2 linked regions of the Coturnix japonica genome follow. The protein of the gene in region 1 interacts with the protein of each later gene in a pairwise test. Links are inferred from orthologs where the notes say so. Each region holds a gene or a part of one and is shown on either strand. Other genes may lie near its edges.

What was found.
Region 2: the proteins of MID1 (region 1) and UBTD1 interact in binary tests that used the Homo sapiens proteins (3 or more experiments, as listed by UniProt). The two-hybrid records come from large-scale screens. The link is inferred for Coturnix japonica from reciprocal best matches to the Homo sapiens genes MID1 and UBTD1.

The regions. Positions count from the first base shown.
Region 1 is NC_029516.1:112,265,216-112,271,809, forward strand, and holds part of MID1 (E3 ubiquitin-protein ligase Midline-1), read left to right. Parts: intron 1-2,369; 5' UTR 2,370-2,425; coding exon 2,426-3,085; intron 3,086-6,594. UniProt on the Homo sapiens protein: Has E3 ubiquitin ligase activity towards IGBP1, promoting its monoubiquitination, which results in deprotection of the catalytic subunit of protein phosphatase PP2A, and its subsequent degradation by polyubiquitination.
Region 2 is NC_029521.1:19,479,979-19,487,272, reverse strand, and holds UBTD1 (ubiquitin domain-containing protein 1), read left to right. Parts: upstream 1-2,479; 5' UTR 2,480-2,532; coding exon 2,533-2,779; intron 2,780-5,427; coding exon 5,428-5,655; intron 5,656-5,745; coding exon 5,746-6,131; 3' UTR 6,132-6,457; downstream 6,458-7,294. Other genes in the region: MMS19 nucleotide excision repair protein homolog, read right to left, coding at 182-230, 2,201-2,288. UniProt on the Homo sapiens protein: May be involved in the regulation of cellular senescence through a positive feedback loop with TP53. Is a TP53 downstream target gene that increases the stability of TP53 protein by promoting the ubiquitination and degradation of MDM2.

The sequences.
Region 1 (6,594 bases):
CTCTGAGAGGGAGACAAAATGAATGAAACCTTTTGGCACATGAGAGAGCAGGAGGAATTTTGTACAGAATGGAGAGCACAGAAGAAAGCCCCATATCCGGAACATGGTCCTAAGAAGCAAACCAGAAAGGTCGGCAGGTTTTCACTAGGCTGCCAAGAGATGAGCAATGATTAGGTGCCTTGCCTCCTTAAAACTTTGTCTGCTGCCAGCCCCAAATCCCCTTCTCCCATTTCCAGTGCAGCTTTCAGCCCGCAGGATAAGCGGATGATGAGGTATACAGTTGTGGTGTGGAAGGGATTCAAACAATGTGAATGAGATTCTTATCTTCTGGGACTTGTGTGATACAGAGAGTGAAGAGGAGGGAAGACAAACTGTTCTTCATTTGCAGAAAATGCTTTAATCTTTTGCTATGCTGTGTGGCTATGGCAGAGGAGAAAGCAGGGAAGCTGTCTTCCTGCTTAGATCAAATTGCCAGGCCTTTAATTTTGACCAGATGCACCATGCAATTATGGCATCTGATGGGTAGTTATAAATGAATTAGTCTTTGACAAACTGAACTTCATTTCAAGTAATATCGGCATCACAGAAGACTCAGGAAACTGAATTCTATGACAGGGTCAGTGCCTTTCCCTAAGCACTCAAATTTCTTGGCAGAATAAAAGGAGGCCTGAGTGCAAAGAGACAGAGTATTCTAATTTCTAAGCACATTCTGGAATGGACGCCTTGCTGCTCTTCCCACAAGTAAGCAGTGCAGGATGCTGACGGGCACTCTGAACCTTGCCTCTGTGCCTGCCAAAATCTCCCTTTTTATTGTGGTTCCTATTGGCGTTATAGGTAGTATTCCTGCCACCACGCCCCATGCTCTAATTGCCATGAAGTACAGGAGGTTCAAGCACGCTTGGTTCCCAAGGCTGCTAATGAGCTCCAGCTCTCCTTGCCCTTAATGAACCAAGACTTGTCTGGGGGGATTCTTGTCTGCCCCTCTTTCTTCCTGGTCAGGGAAGGAGGCGAGAGTTCACACAGCAGAACAATGACTTTACAGTGCGGGGGCCGTGCAGCTGTGCCATCTGAAGCTGTGCTTGGTTATGAGCAACAAAGCTTAAATAGATTGTACTGTGAGGAGGTATGGCTCCGTGAGTGTGAAGCGTAGCTCTTGCTTCTGCCTCACTGAGCTGTCCGCTCGTAGCAGCGATGGGGCCCTGATGGGAGCTTCTGCAGGGAGAGCTGCGTGGGGCGACGCTTTTGCATTCTCTCTGTGTTGCTGAAAGCAGAATTGGGAGCAAAATTAAGTTTTAGAGGATCTCTGAGAAGGCTGCGCTGCTGCCTCCTCTAGAAAATCCCTTCAAAAGTCACCTATTCCTAATCCACCTCAGATGGTTAATAAGGCCACTAGAGCAAGCGTAGTTCAGGAGTTTCAGCCATGGAAAGTATTTACACAACAAAGTATGCACACAGACAAACCAAATCTCACTTTTCACTGTCTTTCTCACTGCAGCCTCTTTTCATGGGTTTGAATCACCAGGAATTTGGGCTCAATTATTTCTTGTGCTTCATCTTTCTCGGAGTATTTCAATTAGGGCACTGCAATCCTCTGGCTATATTTCTCTCACTGCAAACACACGTGTCAAATTTACACATATATACGTGCCTGTACGTACGGTACAAATTATCTTCAAATACATAGGAGCAGCATATTAATATAGTACGATGAATACATCCATGAAAAACAGAAAAATATCACAGGCTTTCCTTGATACACTGTTCCCTGTGTATATTGGTGTAAATATTTACACAGGTGAACACAGATGTGTAACCTAGGTGCCATGCTATAACAATAACTTGGCTTTTCAACCTGAGAAAAGAACTGTGTGAATTAAGATAATAATAAGAGATGTAAGGTTACCGGCTGTTATACTCTGGGCTAACTCTTGCACAACGCTTCACAAAGGTGAAGTTGTTTAAAGTTTTACTATTGGATTAGCAAAGCCAAAAGCAGCATCTGCAAAAGAAATCTGATTTTGCTTTAGTAGGCTGTTTGAAAATCATTTTTTTGTTGCTTTAATCATTCTGGTTTTTTAGCAGTGCAGAGAAACATCTGCTGCTTTCCTCAGTCGCATGAGCGAGAAAGAGAAAGCGAAAGAATAAGGAGCTTTTGCTTTGTATTCCTAAGCAAACAGAGAGAATAGGAAAAAAAAAAGCCATCTAGTTTTAAATACCTGACGTGTGCATGTTCAGGTTCAGAACTTTTGCTCGCTCTCCTGCCCTGTTGGTGGACCGATAGCACTGGGAGCTGCGGCGAAGCTGACAACCCCCCATGGCTGACCCCTCGTGTTGTCGCTCGCCTAATCGAATTTTGCATGTGTTTCCAGATAGCTGATCAGCTTCCCTGGATTTCGCTGACGCCACAGGAAAGCTTTGCCTGAAGATGGAAACACTGGAGTCGGAACTGACCTGCCCTATCTGTCTGGAGCTGTTTGAGGACCCACTGCTGCTGCCCTGCGCTCACAGTCTGTGCTTCAACTGCGCGCACCGCATCCTGGTCTCCCACTGCGCCTCCAACGAGCCGGTGGAGTCTATCACCGCCTTCCAGTGCCCCACCTGCCGCTATGTCATCACCCTCAGCCAGCGCGGTCTAGAGGGGCTCAAGCGCAACGTCACCCTGCAGAACATCATCGACCGCTTTCAGAAAGCCTCGGTGAGTGGGCCCAACTCCCCCAGCGAGACCCGTCGGGAGCGGGCATTTGACAGCAACAGCATGTCCTCCTGCGAGAAGGTCCTCTGCCAATTTTGCGACCAGGACCCTGCCCAGGAGGCAGTGAAGACATGCGTGACCTGCGAGGTCTCCTACTGCGAGGAGTGCCTGAAAGCCACGCACCCCAACAAGAAGCCTTTCACTGGCCACCGGCTGATCGAGCCCATCCCGGACTCTCACATTAGGGGATTAATGTGCTTGGAGCATGAAGACGAGAAGGTGAACATGTACTGCGTGACGGACGACCAGCTGATCTGCGCCCTGTGCAAGCTGGTCGGGCGGCATCGGGACCATCAGGTGGCAGCTCTAAGCGAGCGCTACGACAAGCTGAAGGTGAGTGCTGCCCTCACACCCCATATTGAGTGTTGAGGAGGGAAGGTGTCCTGCTACTGAGTGTTACGTTTCCTTGTTTGGGCATGGGCTGGTAAAGGCAGGTGTGTGGTCTGTCATCAGATGAGATGCATGTACAGACTGCTTTGTGCTCATCAAAAAGGGGTCAGATTTTCCCTTGAAGAAAGATTCCTCGGTTGCGCTTTGATTTTTCTGCTGTACGCAGTGTACACTATTGCTAGCACAATAAGCTAGTATTAGCTTATCTGTGTGCATCCGTCCACATCTTCCCTCTTGGCAGCTGGCAGGGTTTTATGTTGGCTACACATACACAGGCCCTGATGGAAGTGTCAGGTGTTCTTTGCATATATTCTGCTGTTGTTTATTTTTTATCAAGCTGCTTTTATCACAGAAAACTCTTTTCATCATTGCTAATAGGAAATGCATTTATACCTGCTGATTGCAGGGGCTGCAGCTGCCTTGTCAGCTAGGGAAACCAAATGCCAGCCCCAGTCCTCCTGTGCTGCCCTGAAGGAAACTAAACCAAAAAACTCCTTCAGCTCCTTGTGGCATTCCACAGTTCCCCCCTCCCACCTGGCACCCACCTGGCCCATGTGGGATGTCCTCACTGGGTGAAACCAGCAGGCCATGATGCAGACCTGCTCAGGTTGCTCTGCAGGCTTCCACTGAGGCCATCAAGTGGCCTTGGACCCAACACATTGATTTAGGTGCTGCAGCAGAGAGGAATGAATGAGGTTCCCTCAGGCTAGTCTGTATGTACTTGTCTGCATGCGTTTTGGGGGGATTCCTTGGTTATGTTGAGAAGACACAAGTGTGGAGTGCGAAGATAACAATAATAAGTTTTGGAGATGTGAGAAGAAACTGAATTAAAAGATCTAACTAACTGGAAATGTATTCTTAAATAACTTGAAGATAAAAATATGAGGCTGCATGCATAGGTGATAACTTTGTGTGAGTGCAGGTAAATTCTGTATGCCATATGGTTTTTGTGCCTCTATGCATGTGCAGATATGCAATTCATGCCGCACGATTATATGAATATAATGAAAGATAGTTCTTTACTTGGACCTGATAGCTTCTTTCCATTCCTTAATGAGTTTTTTTAATCTTAAAGAGAAGTTGTTATTTCAGCTTTACATATTTATTTTGTTTTTTTCTGTAGAAGTACTTTTTTTTTTTTTTTTTTTTTTTTAAATAATTAGGAGTTTAGCCACTGATAAAATGGGACGTCGGCTCTAAATGTGAATGGAAGGTGCATGAATCTACAGTGCTCTTCAATAATCCAACAGGTTACATGCTTACCAGGTGCTACAATTCAGCAAACTAATAGAGACTGAACACCTGTATCATTCCTCAACTTGATAAGAGTAGGAATGTGCAACTTGATGTGAAATACCTTTGGAGTTCAGTATTGGCTAAGTGTATGTTTGAGGATGTCATATGGTCAATCTTGTAAGAAGATTTTAAAAAGCAGGTGTCTTCACTTGAGATTATTGGCTAAATATTGCACATGGTTAAGAAAAAAATGTGTGTGTGTTTGCATAATCTCTGTCTTTCCTGTGCAAAGGTGCCTACGCAGACTCTGGATGGGTATCTCAAACAAACAAGCAGCATTCACATTAGATGTTTTCCAGATTAGCAAACCTGGCAGAAGCCTAATAGAGTACTTCCCACTAGTCTCATCAATGAGTAATTCAGGTACTAATTTAATGATTAGTGTGGGCCTGGATCAAATAACTCTTTCTTACAAATGCAATTTCTGTCATTATTTATAATATCCATGCAATTTTTGTTTAGACTTAAACTCTCTTTGTTCTCAAACTACCTGGAAGTAGTTTACACAGGAAATTATTAGCCGACATGAAATCCAATTTCCATCCTTTTTGTCATGAGCGAAATAGACTTATTTTATTTAGTTAATCCCTGCAGTGATACCAATCATGCCAATTTTGCCACTAGTTTGAGCCCAGGGACAGTAGGCTATATGATTTCCGTCCAGATCCAGAGTCCATTCTCTTTTCATAAGAAGGCAATCAGAAATTGACGTCCTTGCTTTCCCTACTGCCCCTTCCATCTCAGTAATGTGAGCTGTTTTATATATTAAACTCCAAGAATGAGATTTTCAGCTCAGGAGATTGGATTTCTTCCTTAGGAGTAAAGGAATTAGGTTTATTTACATCACTGTTTAGCAGTGAACAGGCAAGACAGTCTGGTCCCTTTTCATGTTGAGGCAACCTTCTTCATAAATGGTAATGCCATCCCTTGAGTAACTGCTGGTTTTGTTGTTTTAAGTCTTTGGTTCAAGCTTGCAGTTAGTCTTTGCTAAGTTACAGATAATGTGCGGATGCCAGTGGTAAACACAGTGTCCAAATAATTCAGAAAATGCCCATTTGAAAAACAGGTTGTTGCTTGCTATGTTGTTGCTGAGGATTTTTAAATACATAGGGTTTGTGTGATAGATGGGTTATGCAAATCTTAAAAGAAAATTATAAAGGAATGAGTGCGTGCTAGTCAATAGGGTAGTTGATTCATTCAAAAATTGTTGGCTAATTGTATCTTTAAAGAAGAAAAACAAAACTGCTTCATGTAATGCTTTCTTTTCTTGCAATTTTCTTTTTAAATCAACACATTGTTGATGCCAACAACAGCAACTAGTGTGTAGCTCTAGGTGTCAGGCTATGCTAATTACTTGCATTCTCATCCAGCGGTGTTACTAATTATTTAAACTATATCTCATCCTTCATTAAGCATAGGACAATAGACGCCATTACAATCTAGCTCCCTTTGTGGCAAAAATGAAGCCCTTTAATTAGGAGTTCTGTATACTTGTCCAGCAGAGACGTCTATGCTAAAGCATGTTTAGCAGTCGGTGTAATTGCAATTGTGGACATCTGAAAATGAGAAAGTGTTTTCCTTTGGCAGCTATTGCTCTAGCCCTGAGAGATGCTTTTCTTAATGAACTTTTACTGTGGGTGGAGGGGTCTGAGGTCACTTATTTCAGAAGCAATTCATTCTTGGTTACTAAGAGCACATGGTGTAATTACATGCTTGTAGATGTTTTTGTTGTTTTAGAGTGTACAGCCTTTTTTATTTTTATTTTTATTTTTATTTTTATTTTTTTTTTAAATATAGGCCATAGAAACAGATGCATTTAAAAAAAAAAAAAAAGAAAGAAAACTCATATACCATGACAAAAACAGAGAATAGGAAATATTCTGGTTATCGCTGCATTTATGAGGTGATGGTCAGAATTGTGGTATAAGTTAGAAATAGCTTCTAGCTGCATAAACATTGAAAGTTGTAAAAGCAGAAGGTGCGAATGCCCATGTTTAGTGCAGTGTAATAGTACAAAGAACATGTTTTTGCCTAATTACTTTTGATGTTGATTTTTTGCTTTTTGTCTTGTGGAGATATGAAGGAAAAGACAAATGTGCGCTCATATTTTCAGAGAAAATTAATGAAAATTGCCATCGTTCTTCAGACATATTTAA
Region 2 (7,294 bases), on another chromosome or scaffold:
AGGGCAACGTGCAGTGAGCAGGCAACAAACTTGTGGTGTGTCTGTGTGCCCGGTGGTGCTGAAGGCAGTTTGCACAGGACGAGATGTCAGCACACACTTTTCCTTCTCACTGCCCCTTACTATGGGAATCTCCCCCACAGAGCCCTTACACGATGTATAATGTGTACACAGCTTTCCTTACCCCAGGGCTTCCACAAGCTGCAGAATAGTCCAGCTTCCATCTTTCACCCCTGGAGAAAAGAGATAAAGAGAGTGAACCAAAGAGACTCCCAGACAGTTATTGAGGCAGAGAGCAGCTCTCCCGATGCTCCCTAGGGGACAAAAGAAACCAAGCTCTTAACAAGGCAGTGGTTGAGCCAAACAGCCCAGACATTAACAAGCACTCAGCTTCCATCACCTCTACTCTGAGCAACACCTGCACAAATGCCCTCCAAGGCAGAAAGCACAGAGAAATATGGTTTTGTGGTTACTGTACGACACAGTGCTGGGACTGCTGGAGTGTATTTGCAGCTCTGACTCAGGCACCCCAGCCAGGTTGCTTCACTTACCTCCTGCAACTGAACTGGGGGAAGAGTCACTCCCTAGGAGGCTTTGGTGAGAATCTACTGCACCCTTCAAAAGCCACGGCAGAGGGGCTCCTACCCCTGCAGTCAGTGCAACACTCACCCACTAAAACAGCTCTGCGTGCCTTTGGTCCCCAGGATTCACCATTTCTCTGCCCTGCTGAGGGCTTGTCTACACAATTGGTGGGGCACCCACCTATCAGAAAGCCCAGAGGTTTCATTTGGGACTGTCCCAGGCCTTGCCTCAGCTGGAGTATCCTGCTATTGCCAGCATTTACTGTCTCTTTCTAAAGCAGTTAATTCCAGTATTAAGTTGTGCTGTTCATTGGAGAGTAGTTTCTGTGGATGGAAGAAGAAATGCCCACAATTTCTGTTAGCAAGCAGCCCTGGCTCCAAAGACAGCACTTCCAGTCCCACTTGGCACAAAGAGGATAGGAGGCACGGCATGGAGAGCCATGAGGAAAAAGGAGAGTCCAGCTGGCCGCAGGATGGACAGCCACAGGCTGAAGAAGAGGTGCCTCAAGTGAGACTGAGCTGCTGGCAAAGCCTCTCGCAGGAAAACAGAAGCATGGTAGCAAGCAGGCACTGTGCTTGAGCACAAAGCAGAGTGCTCCTTCACACCTAGGATCCCACCACCTTATTCCAGAGCACAGCTCCTGCATCCTCATGACTCTGACCTCTGCATGATGCAAAAGGTCAGAGACACACCAGTCCCACAGGTGAGCACTGACCTGCTCTACACTTTCAAAGCCTGAATGCAATATTTAGACAAAGGTGCCGGTGACCTCACCAATAGGAAAGAGCTAAAGAGTAACGATCTGGCCACAATCAGCCACCCGTGTTCTTGTGGCTATGAACCCCCTCGCTCTGGTCTCAAAGGTCTGCTCGATTTCACTGTGCATGAGCGAACCACACGAGCCCAGCAGCATGCAGAGCAGCAGCAGCACGCAGCACAGCTGAACTGCGAGCTCAGCTCCAGCTGTGCACCTTGTATCCCAGTGTGCTCCTTTACCAGAAGGGCTGCCCTGCCCTGGTGGTGTTCCTAGAGTGTGAGGCTAAACAGAAGCGAGCAAGTTACCCTTTGTTATATTCTTATTTGAAACCCATCAGCCTTCCCTGACATCTCCCTTTCACGTGCCACATTTCATATATCATTTCCATACACTTTCTTCTCCTTACGTTTCCCCAGCTCCCTTACAATGGGAGTGCAGCAATTCCCAGCGGGCACAATGGATTTCTCTAACGGCGTCATTCGTCTCCCGGTGTTTTAACAGGAGCACACTCAGCCCCTCTGACACACGCTGCCTTACGCAGCCCCAGCTGCGACAGCACCGAGCTGCCTCCCACCTGTCAGGGCACATTGAATGCAGCGCACAAAGGAAGCTCGTTCAACGTGTTTCTTCCCACAGTCACACAGAAGGCGCCGAGCTCAGAATAAACCCTGTCCTTCCCTCAGCGCTACGTGCTGTACCGTAACGCTTCCAGCCGTGACTCCATACAGGTCACGGAGGCCGCACGATGCCGGCATCCCCCCGTCATCCCACGTGTGTCTGTCACAGCGCCGTGCGGCTCGTGGGACCTGGCGGACACGTGGCCCAGCAGCCCCGCACCCCACCCCGCCCCGCCCCGCCCGGTACCTGCGGCCAGCTCCGCGTTGCGCCCGTCGTGCTGCCCGCTCACCCAGTCCCGCACGGCAGCACCGAGCTCCTCCGCTCCCGCCGCCATGTCGGCCCGTTCCCCGGCACACACCGGCCGCGCTCCCGCCGTGCGCACGCGCAGCCCCGAGGCATGAGCCCACGGCACATGCGCGACCCCGGCGCCCCCTCCTCACCTCGCCCCCCCGGCCGGTATTGGTGGGGGCGGCACGGCGCTGTACGGCGGCGCGGGAGGGACAAAAGCCGCGGGCAGGACGGACGCGCGCACGTGGGCGGCGCTCCCCGCGGGGCCGCGGCCGCGACGGGGCGGTCACATGCGCACGTGGGGGGCGGGGCGCGCCCAGGGCCGGCTTTGGCGGCGGGGCGGCTCGGGCGGTCGGAGTCGGGCGGGGCGGTTTGACGACGCCGGAGCCCGCGGTGCAGCGCGGCGTGGAGCCCGGCCGGACACATGCCGAGCCGCCCGCGCCGCCGCCGCCGTCGGTGAAGCCCCGGCCATGGGCGGCTGCGTGGGGCGGCAGCGCCGGGAGCGGCCCTCAGCGGGGAGCCCCCGCAAGAGAGCAGGTGAGCGGCACCGCAGGGCGCGGGGCGTCCGGTCGCGGCGTGCCCGGTGCTGGAGCTGTCCGCACGGCACCGCCGGCCGTTCTCTTCCTGCCGCCCGGTTGGGGTCGGTCCCGGGTCGTCCCGGCTCTTCGCTGTGCCGGGGATTCCCCCGCTCGTTCCCCGTGCGCCCCGTCGGTGCCGTGCCGTACCGTGCCGTGCCGTGCCGGGCTCCCGGTTCGAGCCGCCGCGCATCCCCGGCGTGACCCCGTAGTGCCGCGGTGCCCGTGCCGGGATTGGCTCGTGGTGCCCCGCCAGCCCCTCGTGTCCCCGGCCCGTCCCCAGCACCGCTCGCTCGGACCGGCCGGGCTGGGGGCAGCGCTCCCGCTGCTGCAATTCGCCCCGTTGCGCCCCATCGTTCCCCAACGGGCCCCGCCAAGCGCCGGGCGGGCGGCACGGTGAGTCACTGCCCGCCCGCTGCACCCACACGGGGAGGAGCAGGAAGCACCGGGCGCGGGGACCCCGCGGCGTGGGCCTCTCACGGGAGAGGTTTTCCCACTGACCGGTGCCCGGCTGTCACGGAGCGGGCGGTGCTGCAGGATGCTGCTGGGCACACAGAGCAGGGCTCGGATCTGTGCGCTGTGCTGCTCGCTGTCCTCGTGTCCCCTCCTTCCCCCAGCACTGCAACCCGAGGCTGGGGGCTCTGAGCTGCTCCGGCTCATAGGTGGCTCATAGGAGGGCTGACCCTGCGGGCTGCAGGGTGCTGGAAGTTGTCTGTCCGGAGCAGCCCTGCAGGGAGCTGAGCTGGGCAGCAGCAGGTACGGCATGTTGGGTTTGAGTGAGAGCACAGCTGGGCAACTCCTGACCCCCCGTGTCCCCCGAGGGTGTGGAGTTGCACAACGGCTGGGAATAGAGCAACACAAGATGATTAGAGGCTGGGTCCAGGCTGGGTGGCAGCAATAAATAGAAGAGGCTTAGCTCCTGCCTACCTGCCCAGGGCTGCCGGTGGCTGTGGGGTGGCGGTTGGGCCACAGCCTGTCCCTGCTCCTGCAGACTGGGCTCCCTGCCACACCGTCAGCTTGGGTGCCTCTCTGCAGCCCCTGGATTCCTCTTCCTTGCTGAGCACCAGCCCTCTTCCCTTTCCTGCAAGTGGAGCTGGGGGATGGTGCCGGCTGGGAGCTGTGCTGCCTGGCTCAGATGTGTCCATCCCTAACACTAAAGGACCTCGTTTCCTGGCAGTGTTACCTACTCTTCCATCCTGTGCCTGCTCCTGGCTGCTGCTGTGTGGGGCCACGGGCACAGCCACCTCTCAGTCAATAAAGGTGACAGCACCAGGATGGAGCTGTGGGACAGGAGACCTCCATCACCCTTTAATCCCCATGTGTCCTTGTCTGGCTGATGCTGCAGAGAGAACGTCCTGAACTGTCCTGTTCTCACTGGGACAGGGTCACAGCCCCAGACACTGTCCCTCTGCAGCTTGTGGTGGCCCAGGGATGGTGTGGTGGCCCACTTGTTGCAGCCATGATGCTGGTGGCTCCCTCCTCTGCGGTCCTCACCATGTCCTTCAGTGCTGGTGGTGTCCACTGTACCCGGGGCAGGTGCTGTCTCTGACCTTGCTCTGCTCTGCCACGCTGCAAATCCCTCCTGCCCAGCACCGTGACTGCTGAATCGGCAGTGCTGGCTGCAGCCCTCACTGCTTGGAGATGTGGTGCAAGCAGGATGCTGCCTTCCCAACCCTGCTTAGGTGTTTAGCTCCCAACCCTCGGGGTGGCTGCATTCTGTGCCCTGGTCCATGTGTCACATCCAGCCCCAGGAAAAGCCTTTGGGAGGATGTGACAGCCTGTCCCCAGCAGTGGTGGCTAACTCTAGTGGTAGCTGCACGTGCAGGCAGGTGGCATCCCCCTGCCTAGCAAGTCATAGCAGCACTCAGCATCCTTCCTGCCCTGTCTGACTCCACTCACTCTACACCCCTGCAGGCATGGTGTGGGCTGGCTGCCCCACAGAACACAGCAGCAGGAAGGAGCTGTTGACACTCTTTGTCCCCAGCCCAGCTGGGAGTGACAACAGCTCCTTCCTGCCCCACGCTTCCGGCCCTGCTGTGATGCAGGTGGCACGTGGCCATTCCCACGGGGCTGGAGCTGCCGTGGGTGCTTCACAGCTTGGTCACACAGGTGTGCTGCCAGCCCAGGGACAAGCTTTCCCTGCCACTTGGCATGGCATCCAGCTGCAGCTGCCATGCAGGGGGCTGCTCACAGTGCTGTGAGGCTGCTGGGGGGTCGGCAAGGCTCGGTGTGGCACAGTGCTGTCGCCTCCCGCAGCACTACCCTGGGGTGAGCAGAGGAAGAAGTCATGCCCCCCTCTTTGCTGGGGCTGCGGCTCAGCCCCTGTAATCCCTTTCGCTCTCTGCCGCACCAGCTTATTTCCTGGCTAATTCCCCAAGCTATAAATACTGCTCTGCCTCAAAGGGCCCCAGGCCCTGCAGCCACCCCAGGCTGCCCCTGGCATCCCATCCACAACCCCTGCACCCCACCCGGGATGCTGCTGCATTTCTCGTGGCTGTGTTGGGAGCTGTCCCACTGGGCATGCTGTGGGGAAACCCCGATAGCCCGTGGATCCCTTTACTGTACTGGGAAATGGGGCACCCTTGTTTGAGCCTCCCTCTGTCCCCCCAGGCCGCAATGAGCCCCTGAAGAAGGAGCGTCCCAAGTGGAAGAGCGACTACCCCATGACAGACGGGCAGCTGCGCAGCAAGAGGGATGAATTCTGGGACACAGCGCCCGCCTTCGAGGGCCGTAAGGAGATCTGGGATGCCCTGAAGGCTGCAGCCTATGCCGTGGAGGTCAACGACCACAGCCTGGCCCAGGCCATCCTGGATGGAGCCAGCATCACCCTGCCCCACGGTGAGGGGTGGTGGTGGGGGGGATGCAGGAGTGGGGGTCCCCATTTGGGGGTGCCCTGCATGGCTCCATGTCTCACCCCGCTGTCCGCAGGGTCGCTGACGGAGTGCTACGACGAGCTGGGCAACCGCTACCAGCTGCCTGTGTACTGCCTGGCACCGCCTGTCAACCTGATCCTGGAGCGGGGCGAGGAGGAGGCGGCTGAGCCAGCTGAACCACTCCCCAATGCCCGGCGTGAGTTCGCCCTCAAGGTGCGCCTGTCCACTGGCAAGGACCTGCGGCTCAGCGCCAGCATGGCCGACACCATCGGGCAGCTGAAGAAGCAGCTGCAGGCGCAGGAGGGCATCGACCTGGCCTGGCAGCGATGGTTCTTCTCTGGCAAGCTGCTCACCGACCGCACGCAGCTGCAGGAGACCAAGATCCAGAAGGATTACGTGGTGCAAGTCATCGTCAACCAGCCTCTGCCACCCAGGAACTGAGCTCTGGTGGGGAGTGGGGAGGCCCCTTCCTGCACCGAGGCCCAGCGGCACCTTGGGGATGTCCAGTGCCGTGTTCCAGCCCTGCTGGGGTCATCGGGTCCCCTCCCCAGGGCTGTGGGCTGGGGACATGGGCACATTTGCTGTGGAAGGTGTGAGACCAAATGTGTGCTGGGGGGGCCCCTGCCATGGGGCTGCCCCTTGGGGAGAGGCTGTGACCCGCCGGCCGGGCTCCTGCTGCCTCTGGCCCGGGGGCTGCAGTACTGGGCGGAGATGTCTCCCCTCTGTACATAGTCTGTGTATTTATCAATAAAGCCTTTTCATCCTTCCTCCCTGCTGGAGATTGCTGGGGGCTGTCCCCTGGCCCATGTGCCCATCTGACATCTGTTCCAGTGTCACCTGGTAAAGACAGCTGGACACAGGGGATGCCAGGGGTCTGAGATCTGTTCCCCTTTACAGCCCTGGGTGTCACCCCTGCGCACCCCTCTCCTTCCTGTATCTGTGGCACTCATGGGATACAGCACCCAAGTGTGGCCCTGGGTCCTACACGTGCCCAGGAGTGTGACGTGTCCTCATCTGTCCCTCATCTGCTTGATCCCAGGGGCTGGTGCCCAGCGCATTAACTGTCCCAGCACGAGGTGCACTGGCCTCATCTTACAAATAGGGAAAGCAAAGCCTGGAGTGGCTGAGCAATGTTCCTGGCACTGGGAACAGCTGCGGGCTCTGTCTGCCGGCCCTGCTGCCTGTGTGCATGCGGTAAGGAGACCAGGTTCTGGATGCTCTGGACCTGAGGTCATCCTCCAAAGCAGCATGGAGCCACAGTGAGCATCCTGACTGCCCAGTGTGGGCGGCATGGACTCAGGAACCACAGGGCTACCACATACCCTGGCACCGCTCCATCCAGGGGCTGGACTGGCTACACAAGCCCTGCATGCCCCAGGTCCCTGTGCCCAGTACGAGGGTCCCAGGCAGCCAGATGAGGATGGGGCATGGGTTGCTTTAAGAGCATGGAGGAGGTGAGCCAGGGGCACCAGAAAGCAGCAGGGTGAGCTCATGGCAAAGCTGCCCCAGTCATGTGGAGAAGGCACAGCTGTTGGTGCCCTTGGGCAGTGGGACGGAGGGGCTGGGGACATAAAGCCCCACCGCCAGCGTTGCTGCTGGGGCCA